Coturnix japonica: one gene and its partner. The protein of the gene in region 2 purifies or fractionates together with the protein of the main gene of each other region. This does not show direct contact. Links are inferred from orthologs where the notes say so. Each region holds a gene or a part of one and is shown on either strand. Other genes may lie near its edges.

Region 1 (4,603 bases), on a different chromosome or scaffold from region 2:
GAGCAAAGTTAAGGATGAAGCAGCAAGTCTTAAACATCAGCATCTCAATCTGCACTGCCTGGCAGCAGCGATGCCAGCACTGCTCTCCTGCCATGCTTCAATGGAACATCTCTGTATTAAAAACCAAACACCACCAGCAAAGCATTGTCAGCTTTTTAGCTCCACCCACAAGTTCAGTGCTGACAATTTTACCAGCAGATTGCAAATAACAATGAACTAACAGCATATTTCACTGCATTATTTAAAGGTCTGGAGTGCTGCTCTCAAACTCCTCCCTGAGCATCATTTCAGCAGTAGAAACACCACTCAAACACCGCCTGCAAGGTCACAGTTCTATGGGTAACACTGACATCTCACATTTCTTCTTTCAGTACATTGACAGCAGCATGACATACAAAAGACTCTTCTGTGTCATCACAGATAACCAAATACTTCAAAAACAAATACTGAAGGGATTTCTTTTCTGATTCTCTTGTTCCATAAGAAAAATGCAGCAGGTCCCTGAAAGTGTGTGATCATGACTCTTCCTCAATGACATGGAATGACCTGGGTTGGAAGGGACCACAAGGATCATGAAGCTCCAACCCCCCACCACAGGCAGAGTCACCAACCTCCACATTGATACCAGCCCAGGCTGCCCAGGGCCCCATCCAACCTGGCCTTGAACAGCTCCAGGGATGGACGGGGCATCCACAGCCTCTCTGGGCAGCTGTTCCAGCACCTCACCGCTCTCACAGTAAAGAACTTCCCCCTGACATCCAATCTAAATCTTCCCTCCTTCAACTCCAAACCATTTCCCCTTGTCCTGCTGTTATCTGCCCTTGTAAAGAGTTGTCTCCCCTCCTGTCTGTAGGCTCCCTTTAGGTCCTGGCAGGCTGCACTGAGGTCACCCCGCAGCCTTCTCTTCTCCATGCTGAACAAACCCAGCTCCTGTAGCCTGTCTTCACAATATTACAATATTATAAGCCAAAAAGAATTCAGACACTAGGAAGTGAATTTTAGCACTAACTACACATCAATTTGCTGATTACACAAAACAGTCATTACTCATTGTTTCACAATAAATAATTCATTATAAAATTAACAAAAATCAAATGACACAATGATATTCTGGGCTTGTTTAGCTTGGAGAAGAGAAGACTGAAAGGAGACCTCATAGTGGGCATCCAATACTTGAAGGGAGTGTATAAACAGGAGGGGGAACAACTGTGAGGGTGGGCAGTGACAGGACAAGGGGGAATGGTTTGAAACTGAGACAGGGGAGGTTCAGGTTGGATCTTAGGAGGAAGTTTTTCCCCCAGAGGGTGGTGACGCACTGGAACAGGTTGCCCAAGGAGGCTGTGGATGCCCCATCCCTGCAGGCATTCAAGGCCAGGCTGGATGTGGCTCTGGGCAGCCTGGGCTGCTGGTTGGTGACGCTGCACACAGCAGGGGTTGGAGCTGGATGAGCACTGTGGGCCTTTGCAACCCAGGCCATTCTGGGATCCTATGTACCTAAAGCTGTTCAGTGATATGTGAAGGGCACAATGAACCCATCCTCACCTGACATGCGCCTCCCATGGTTGTGAGCCATCCTCTGGAAAAGCTCCCCACCGTGCTCATAATACCTGCAGTCCTCATGCAAGCGATCATTCAATTGCCGTCTCCTCTGGGCATCATAGAAGTGATCATAATAGTAACAACGTGTGCCGGCATCTCCATTTTCCATAACCGAGTTGGTTTCTGTCAGAAAGGACTGTGAGGAAGAGCCGTATTCTCTAGCGACGTCAGCTAAACTTCGAGCAAAGTAGGAAGGTGCAGACAGTCTGTTGCTTTCACGCCTCATTATTTCATGGGGCGCCCTCTGCACCGGCGTCCGAAGGAAACTCTGGTTTCTGGAAACAGCTCCATCTCCAGCAGAGCCATAAGCAGAAGGACTCGGGTCGGGAGGGCAGATGTCAGTTCGTCTTGGAATGGTCGGACCGTGACGGATAAAGGAAGGCATCAGATCTGGTACAGCAGAGAAAGGAAATGAGAGCTTTGTACGCACTTATGGTATTTGGCGAGCCAAAGTGTCTGACTTACAGCATGGAAGTAACTCCATTCTGATGCCAGAGCCCCCTTAAAGCACCTCTCAGTGTAGCAGCGTAACAGTAGGGCTGCAGCAACAAAAGCCATCACACCCTCCATGTGCAACAGAAGCTATTGCCAAAGAAGCGCAGTTTAACAGCCAAAGAAGCCAACACAAACAGCTCCCACCCCTTATCAGTCAGGCTCTAAACCTCTCCGTTACACCAAGATCCAGCCCAAGCCCCGTGAATCCCGCCCTATCAACACCTCACCAGCTCAATCACACAATCAAAGCGCGGCCCGGCTTGGGAGGGAGCTCAAGGCTCACGGAGCCCCAACCCCCCCCGTTTATTACAGAGCCCCCCCAGGCCGCAGCGCGGTGTCTCCCCCCGCCCAGCCCCAGCCCTGAGCTCGGTGCGGGCCGGGCCGGGCGAGGGCGCAGCTGAGCGCCGGGCTGAGGGGGAACAACGCGGCCGTGTGGAGCCCACGGCACGGCACGGCACGGCACGGCACGGCACGGCACGGCACGGCACTCACTGCGGAGCAGCGGGCTGGTCTCCTTCTTCACGTACTTCCCCTGCACCTCGCCGGGCTTCGACAGCTCCGCCCGCGTTTTCTTCCTCGACAACATCCCACCTCCTCCTCCCGGCCCGCTCCCAACGCCCGCATACCCGGCTCCGCTCGGGCAGGGCCGGGCCGCCCTCGGGCTCACAGCGGGGCCGTGTGTGGGGCGGGCGGCGGGGCCGTTAGGCGCGGGGCGTTGTGGGGCGGCGGCCCCGCCTGGGGAGGAGACGAGACGGGAGGAACGACGGGGACAGAGCGTCGCGGTGGCGCGGTCACAGCGCCCTCTAGCGGAAGGAGTGTGGCGGTACAGCACTCTGCTTGGTTCGAGATTCATCACCCAGCCCTGCCATAAAGGATGGGAAACAACCAGCCACAAGCAGGGATCTGACAGTGATTTATTTCATTTCTTTACATTCATGATAAATAACACACAGCTTGGTCCCTCCTTCCCCTTCACGTGGTGGTGTAAGGTCAGCACATGACGACGCGCAGCAAAAACAAGCGTACCCAAAGACCAACTGTTTCCATTTATGCATTAGACAGGTCAGCAGTGCCAGCATCACACACAGCAGGAAGGCATGGAACACCTGAGGGCTGGTGATGCTGTTTGTGTTGTAATGGACAGAGCTGGGCTGTCCCCAGCTCCACCTCGCCTATTCATTGGCTAAAAGTATGTTACAACCCTTCCTTTTCCAGCCAGAACTGAACTAATTCAATTTGCTTTGTACCCAAAGTAGCAATGGGAATATAGGTAGCAAAGCATGCTTTTATACCATCCTAAATTGACATGTAGTACTTCAATGGTGTGAATTCAGCTCACGTCCATTTAACACGAGTGCGATTCCTCTGCCCCCTCCTGCTCCCCAGACTCCAGCCCTGGATACCCACATGCCTTTATTCTCACAGTGATTCATAAAATGAGAGTTGAAAGCATTGAAAACACCTTCTGGCCGTGCAGTTACTGATAGCCAAACAGGCGAGCCCTGCTGTACCAAGGAGGCCCAGAAATTCAGTGACTTACCACATCGCTAAATACTTTGGTATCTGAAAAATGCCTGTAGTGCATAGGAGACACATTCATGCACAAAAGACCACAAAATGCTTTGCACGTTTGCATGTTTCTATGCTTATTTTCAGTAGCCTTGACACTGTGGGATGAGCTGCTTATCCCTTGAGCTGACACAACAAGCAACACAACACTGGTTGGAGCACCGTGACCATTCCCCCCACCTGGGAAGGGTTTGTCCTGAATTGTCCTGCAGCAACAAAAGCGGTACAGCATAGAAATGACAAAAGGCACTTCTGAGAACTCATTCGCACAAGCATTCCAATGAGATTTGGGTTTTTTGTCTACTGTGTTTCTCCTCCATCATTCTCCAGTCCTTTCCTGTGGTTAGGATGGTGTTTGGAAGAAAGAAACGTGGATGAGACAGGATAGGGAGAGAAGAGGAACAGATAGAATCCCTTTTCTCTGCTTCTCCCCTGTATTCCAGTGCTAACATCAAGCTTGGCTCCCTTGTTTTTGTAGAATCACAGAACCATTCAGGTTGGAAAAGCCCTCCAGGACCCCCAAGCCCAACCCAGCCCACCCCACTGTGCCCACTGCCCACGTCCCTCAGTGCCACATCCCCACAGCAATGGAGCACCCCCAGGGATGGTGAGCCCAGCACTCCCTGGGCAATATATGGAGTGGTGTTAATATGTAGTAGCTAATAATGCATTTCCAAACACAGTTCTGATCATCTGAACCATAACTGTGGTGTTTCCAGGAAATATTTTCAAACTTTGCTCATTTCCTTCGTGTAAGCATGGTTCAAGGTGTGCTCAGTTACCACACTGCTAACACACAGCCCTGGTACCCACACACAGAGGTGTAACATGAAGCACTGGCACAGGCTGCCCAGAGAGGTGGTGCTGCCCCATCCCTGCAGACAACCAGGGTCAGGGGATGGGCTGTGAGCACGGATGGAGCTGTGGGTGTCCCTGTGCA
Region 2 (3,813 bases):
TCATTAAAAAAAAAATTGAAACAAAGACTTGTTTTTTAAAAATTATTTAGTATATGTACAAATAGATATCAGGCATCATTTCAGGGTGGAAAAAAATAAATCACTACTTCCTATTTTAAGTACTTAGAGTACAGAGATCAATGATAAAATTCAAGTGATAATTTTTTTCACCTAACATCAAATCTCTTCTAAATTAAACAATTAACAATGTTGGAATAAATTAATTTTTGAAAAGGAATTTCCTGGATTTTGGGGGAAACAAAATGTACAAAGATGGAAAAATGAAGACAACTTAGTGTTTAAAATAACATGCATATATTCACCCTAGCGATCTTCTCTCAATTCTGTTCAGAGAAAACACTTCTCAAAAACATCAGCTGCAAAATAAACTGTTTATTTAGTGTTCACTCCTCTACTAAACATAAACTAGGTCACGATTTTGAACCCCTCTACCTGCTTGTTCTTCATCATCAGACTGCTGGTCTGAGTTCTGCGAACTACTATACTCATACTCAATGGGCTTTGGATTGTTGTATGGGTAGCCATTGTCATCAAAAAACCTTCGGAATGTGAACTCATAAAAAGCATGTTCAGGATGTTTTCCATTTTTGTACCATCCGTTAAGCGTATCATTCACGTTTCCTTCCTTATCATCATCACTCCACAATTTATCTGGATCGACTGGATCAAAGTTTGACGTGTCCGTAGGATGAGCGATTTTGGGAATGTAGAAAGCTGACTGCCGCCGCAGGTCGCTCGAAAAATCAATAGTTTTAAAAAATGGATGAGCTTTTATTTCATCTGCACCGTTTTTGCCTAAACGATCTTCTGGCCCTCGGCATAGCTTAATAATAAGGTCAGAGGCCTCCGGAGTCAGCTTAGCTTGAGGTGGAATATGAAGGGAAGTTTGCCAGTTGATAACCTTTAAAGTAAGAAGATGCGTTATTTTATTTACAACTCCAGAAAAAAGAAAATCCCCTGTGAAAATTAAAAAAGTCACTCAACAGAAGTAATGCCTTCAGACTAATGGGGGCAAATGTGAAGCTGCTTTTCCAGAAGCAGAAAGAACACTTTGTGTGAAAATTTGGCACAATTCAGATAAAGTTTGTTCACAGCCCAGATCTGAACTAGAGTCTGGCATGGAATATGCCTGCCATAAACACACAAGATATCATAAAAAAAAACAACCGGTGCTTAACAGGGCCTACAATCTTCAAAGAAGGTGAGATGAATGAATTATTTCACCTATTGTAAAGACCAACAAATTTGAAGTTACACATCAATACAGAAGTACATTCGGGCCAACTATGGGAGTTGAATGCTGTTACATTAAAATGGCACTGCAGAATAACGCATTAGCCTTGTAGTCTCTCAACCAGGTGAGGTTGGAAAGGGAAAAACCAACAGCTCTGAGCTGCCAGCAACCCTAAGCAGACACACTCCTCCATTCTCACATGCTGAGCACCTGCAGATATTGCAAAAAAGAAATCTTCTGCAGATAAGTGAGCATGGAAGTTCAGTGGTAGAAGAACACCACTCAGATTGCTGGAAAATGAGAAGAAAGTGGAATTAATAACTTCCTGCACATACTTCTAGTTATAGAGGAAGGCTGAGAAATGAAACGTGATTTTACTTGTTACAACTGCAGCATAACCAGATAAAATACACAAATGTGATTCTTGAAGTCCCCTTACAAAATAAGCAGAGCACCACTATAACATTTAGAATCCTGCTAGCTCTTAACATCCTTAAAAAGAGCAGCACTCTCAAAAAAAATCCCCTTTGATTCCATTATAAATTAAAAGCATCATGTCCACTGCAACTCTGTTTTTTCAGCTTTTTCTACCTGCTACCATGAGATGTTTAAAATTACCTTCATTTGTGTTTCCAGAGGTGTTTGTGCCAGGAAAGGAGGCTGGCCCACTAACATTTCAAAGAGAATGACTCCAACACTCCACCAGTCACACAGCTGTGTGTAACCTGAAGGAAAAAGAAGTACTCAAAGCTTCAGCATGCATTTAATCCTGCAAGTTCACAAGATAATTCTATTCAATACATTTAAGATTTCCATATTAATACTCAAGATACACACTTGGGAAAAGCACTCATGTAAGAAATGTGAAGCTGCTACCTGAATGCCAGTTACGTTGCAGAAAGTTTGTGATAAAAAAATAAAAATAAACGCATTACCTGTTCGTAGCAGCACTTCTGGTGCAATATAATTAGGTGTGCCAACAAGGGAATGGGCCAGACAGCGCTGGTGCTGACGTGCAGCCCTACGTTCGAGTGGCTTCAGCCGATCTCCACACCTGCAGTTCGCTGGGTCACCCCATTCATTGCTGAAATCCATGCTGTCCTGACGTGCGTGATCACCTGCAAGTGTGTGAGAATAATGCCAAAATTGAGAAAGGCGATTTCAGAGCTCAACTAGAATGAAATTCTCTTCATTTATTATATTTTTATTACAAAATAGAAACTATTTCACTACTCAAGAAAAATATCTGAAATGTTTTAAAACATCAGGATTTTGACTTTTTGCTTATAATACAATCCACACCTGAGAAGTTACTTTTTAGCATAATTATGAGAAAGTTTGATTCTTAAGTTTTTTCTTAACATAACCATACTGACTGTACAGCATGTATATTGTTTTTGCTCTTACACAGAGAGAAAAACAACATTTAAAGCATCAATTGATGCTAATTACCAAAAAGATAAAAATCAATCAGGTTTTAAGCCTTCCAAGACATCAGTTTCAATCTCTAATATGGAATAACACAAACACTTCTGCTTTCTCTTGAGAGACTCCAAAGTAGCCTGGTCTAACAGTAACTCAAAGGTACTTTTTCAAATAAAAAGAAACCTCCAAGAATTAAAAAGTTAATTTTCGATTAATATATAATCTATATTTTATCACTCATGGAATTGTTTTTCTTTCCTCTTTTTTCAAACCACTGTTTTAAGTCATCAAGAAGGGTTTCAAAAGAAATCAACAGCTGCAAAGACATTCAGCAGATTTTCCAAGAACGATCAATCTAAAACATCAGCCCTACCTTCCAAATAGAGTTAGAGTTGTTATCTATGCAATTATGCCACTACATCTTTTCTCTCCAAGTTTCAGGAGGTAGTAATGGAACAAATTTTCAGCACCACAGTTTATTGCTTCTCTCTTAAGGAATCAGTGCCTACCTACACTCAGAAAGGCTCCCTAAACATTGTGCTCTGCAATTTGAATGGTGTGTAGAAACACTGTTAGATGCTTTAACATTTATGTTGGTAATGTTGCAGCCATCTTTTAACTCATTATTTAATTTCTTCAAAAGAATAACATTCCAACAACAAGTTTTATATTTCTCTTACCACTCTGGTAGTATTTTGAATCATGGGTCCATCGAAAACCTGTACAGAGTCCAAAGTCAGTCAATTTAATATGACCGTCACGATCTATCAAAATATTGTCAGGTTTAATATCTCTGTGGATGAAGCCCATTTTATGAACACTTTCAACTGCACAGGTCAGTTCTGCTGTGTAGAACCGTGCCAGATTTTCCGGAAAGACACCCATTCTAATTAGGAGACTCATCATATCACCTCCAGGAATGTAGTCCATTACAAAGTACAAATTGTCCTTATCTTGGAATGAATAGTACAGACGAACCACCCATTCATTATCAGCTTCTGCAAGGATATCCCGCTCAGCTTTAACGTGGGCAACTTGATTTCTAAGCAACACATCTTTTTTTCTCAGAGTTTTTGTTGCATATAAAGCCTTAGTATCCACTTTTCTTGCTAGGCAAACTTCTCCAAATGCAC

Evidence for each region.
Region 1: the proteins of LATS1 (region 2) and SAV1 purify together in Homo sapiens (affinity purification with western blotting; 3 studies listed by BioGRID). This does not show direct contact. The link is inferred for Coturnix japonica from reciprocal best matches to the Homo sapiens genes LATS1 and SAV1.

Annotation. Positions count from the first base shown.
Region 1 is NC_029520.1:52,524,929-52,529,531, forward strand, and holds the start of SAV1 (protein salvador homolog 1), read right to left. Parts: upstream 2,824-4,603; 5' UTR 2,681-2,823; coding exon 2,587-2,680; intron 1,990-2,586; coding exon 1,543-1,989; intron 1-1,542. UniProt on the Homo sapiens protein: Regulator of STK3/MST2 and STK4/MST1 in the Hippo signaling pathway which plays a pivotal role in organ size control and tumor suppression by restricting proliferation and promoting apoptosis.
Region 2 is NC_029518.1:43,372,103-43,375,915, forward strand, and holds part of LATS1 (serine/threonine-protein kinase LATS1), read right to left. Parts: coding exon 3,361-3,813; intron 2,374-3,360; coding exon 2,191-2,373; intron 1,981-2,190; coding exon 1,874-1,980; intron 923-1,873; coding exon 416-922; 3' UTR 1-415. UniProt on the Homo sapiens protein: Negative regulator of YAP1 in the Hippo signaling pathway that plays a pivotal role in organ size control and tumor suppression by restricting proliferation and promoting apoptosis.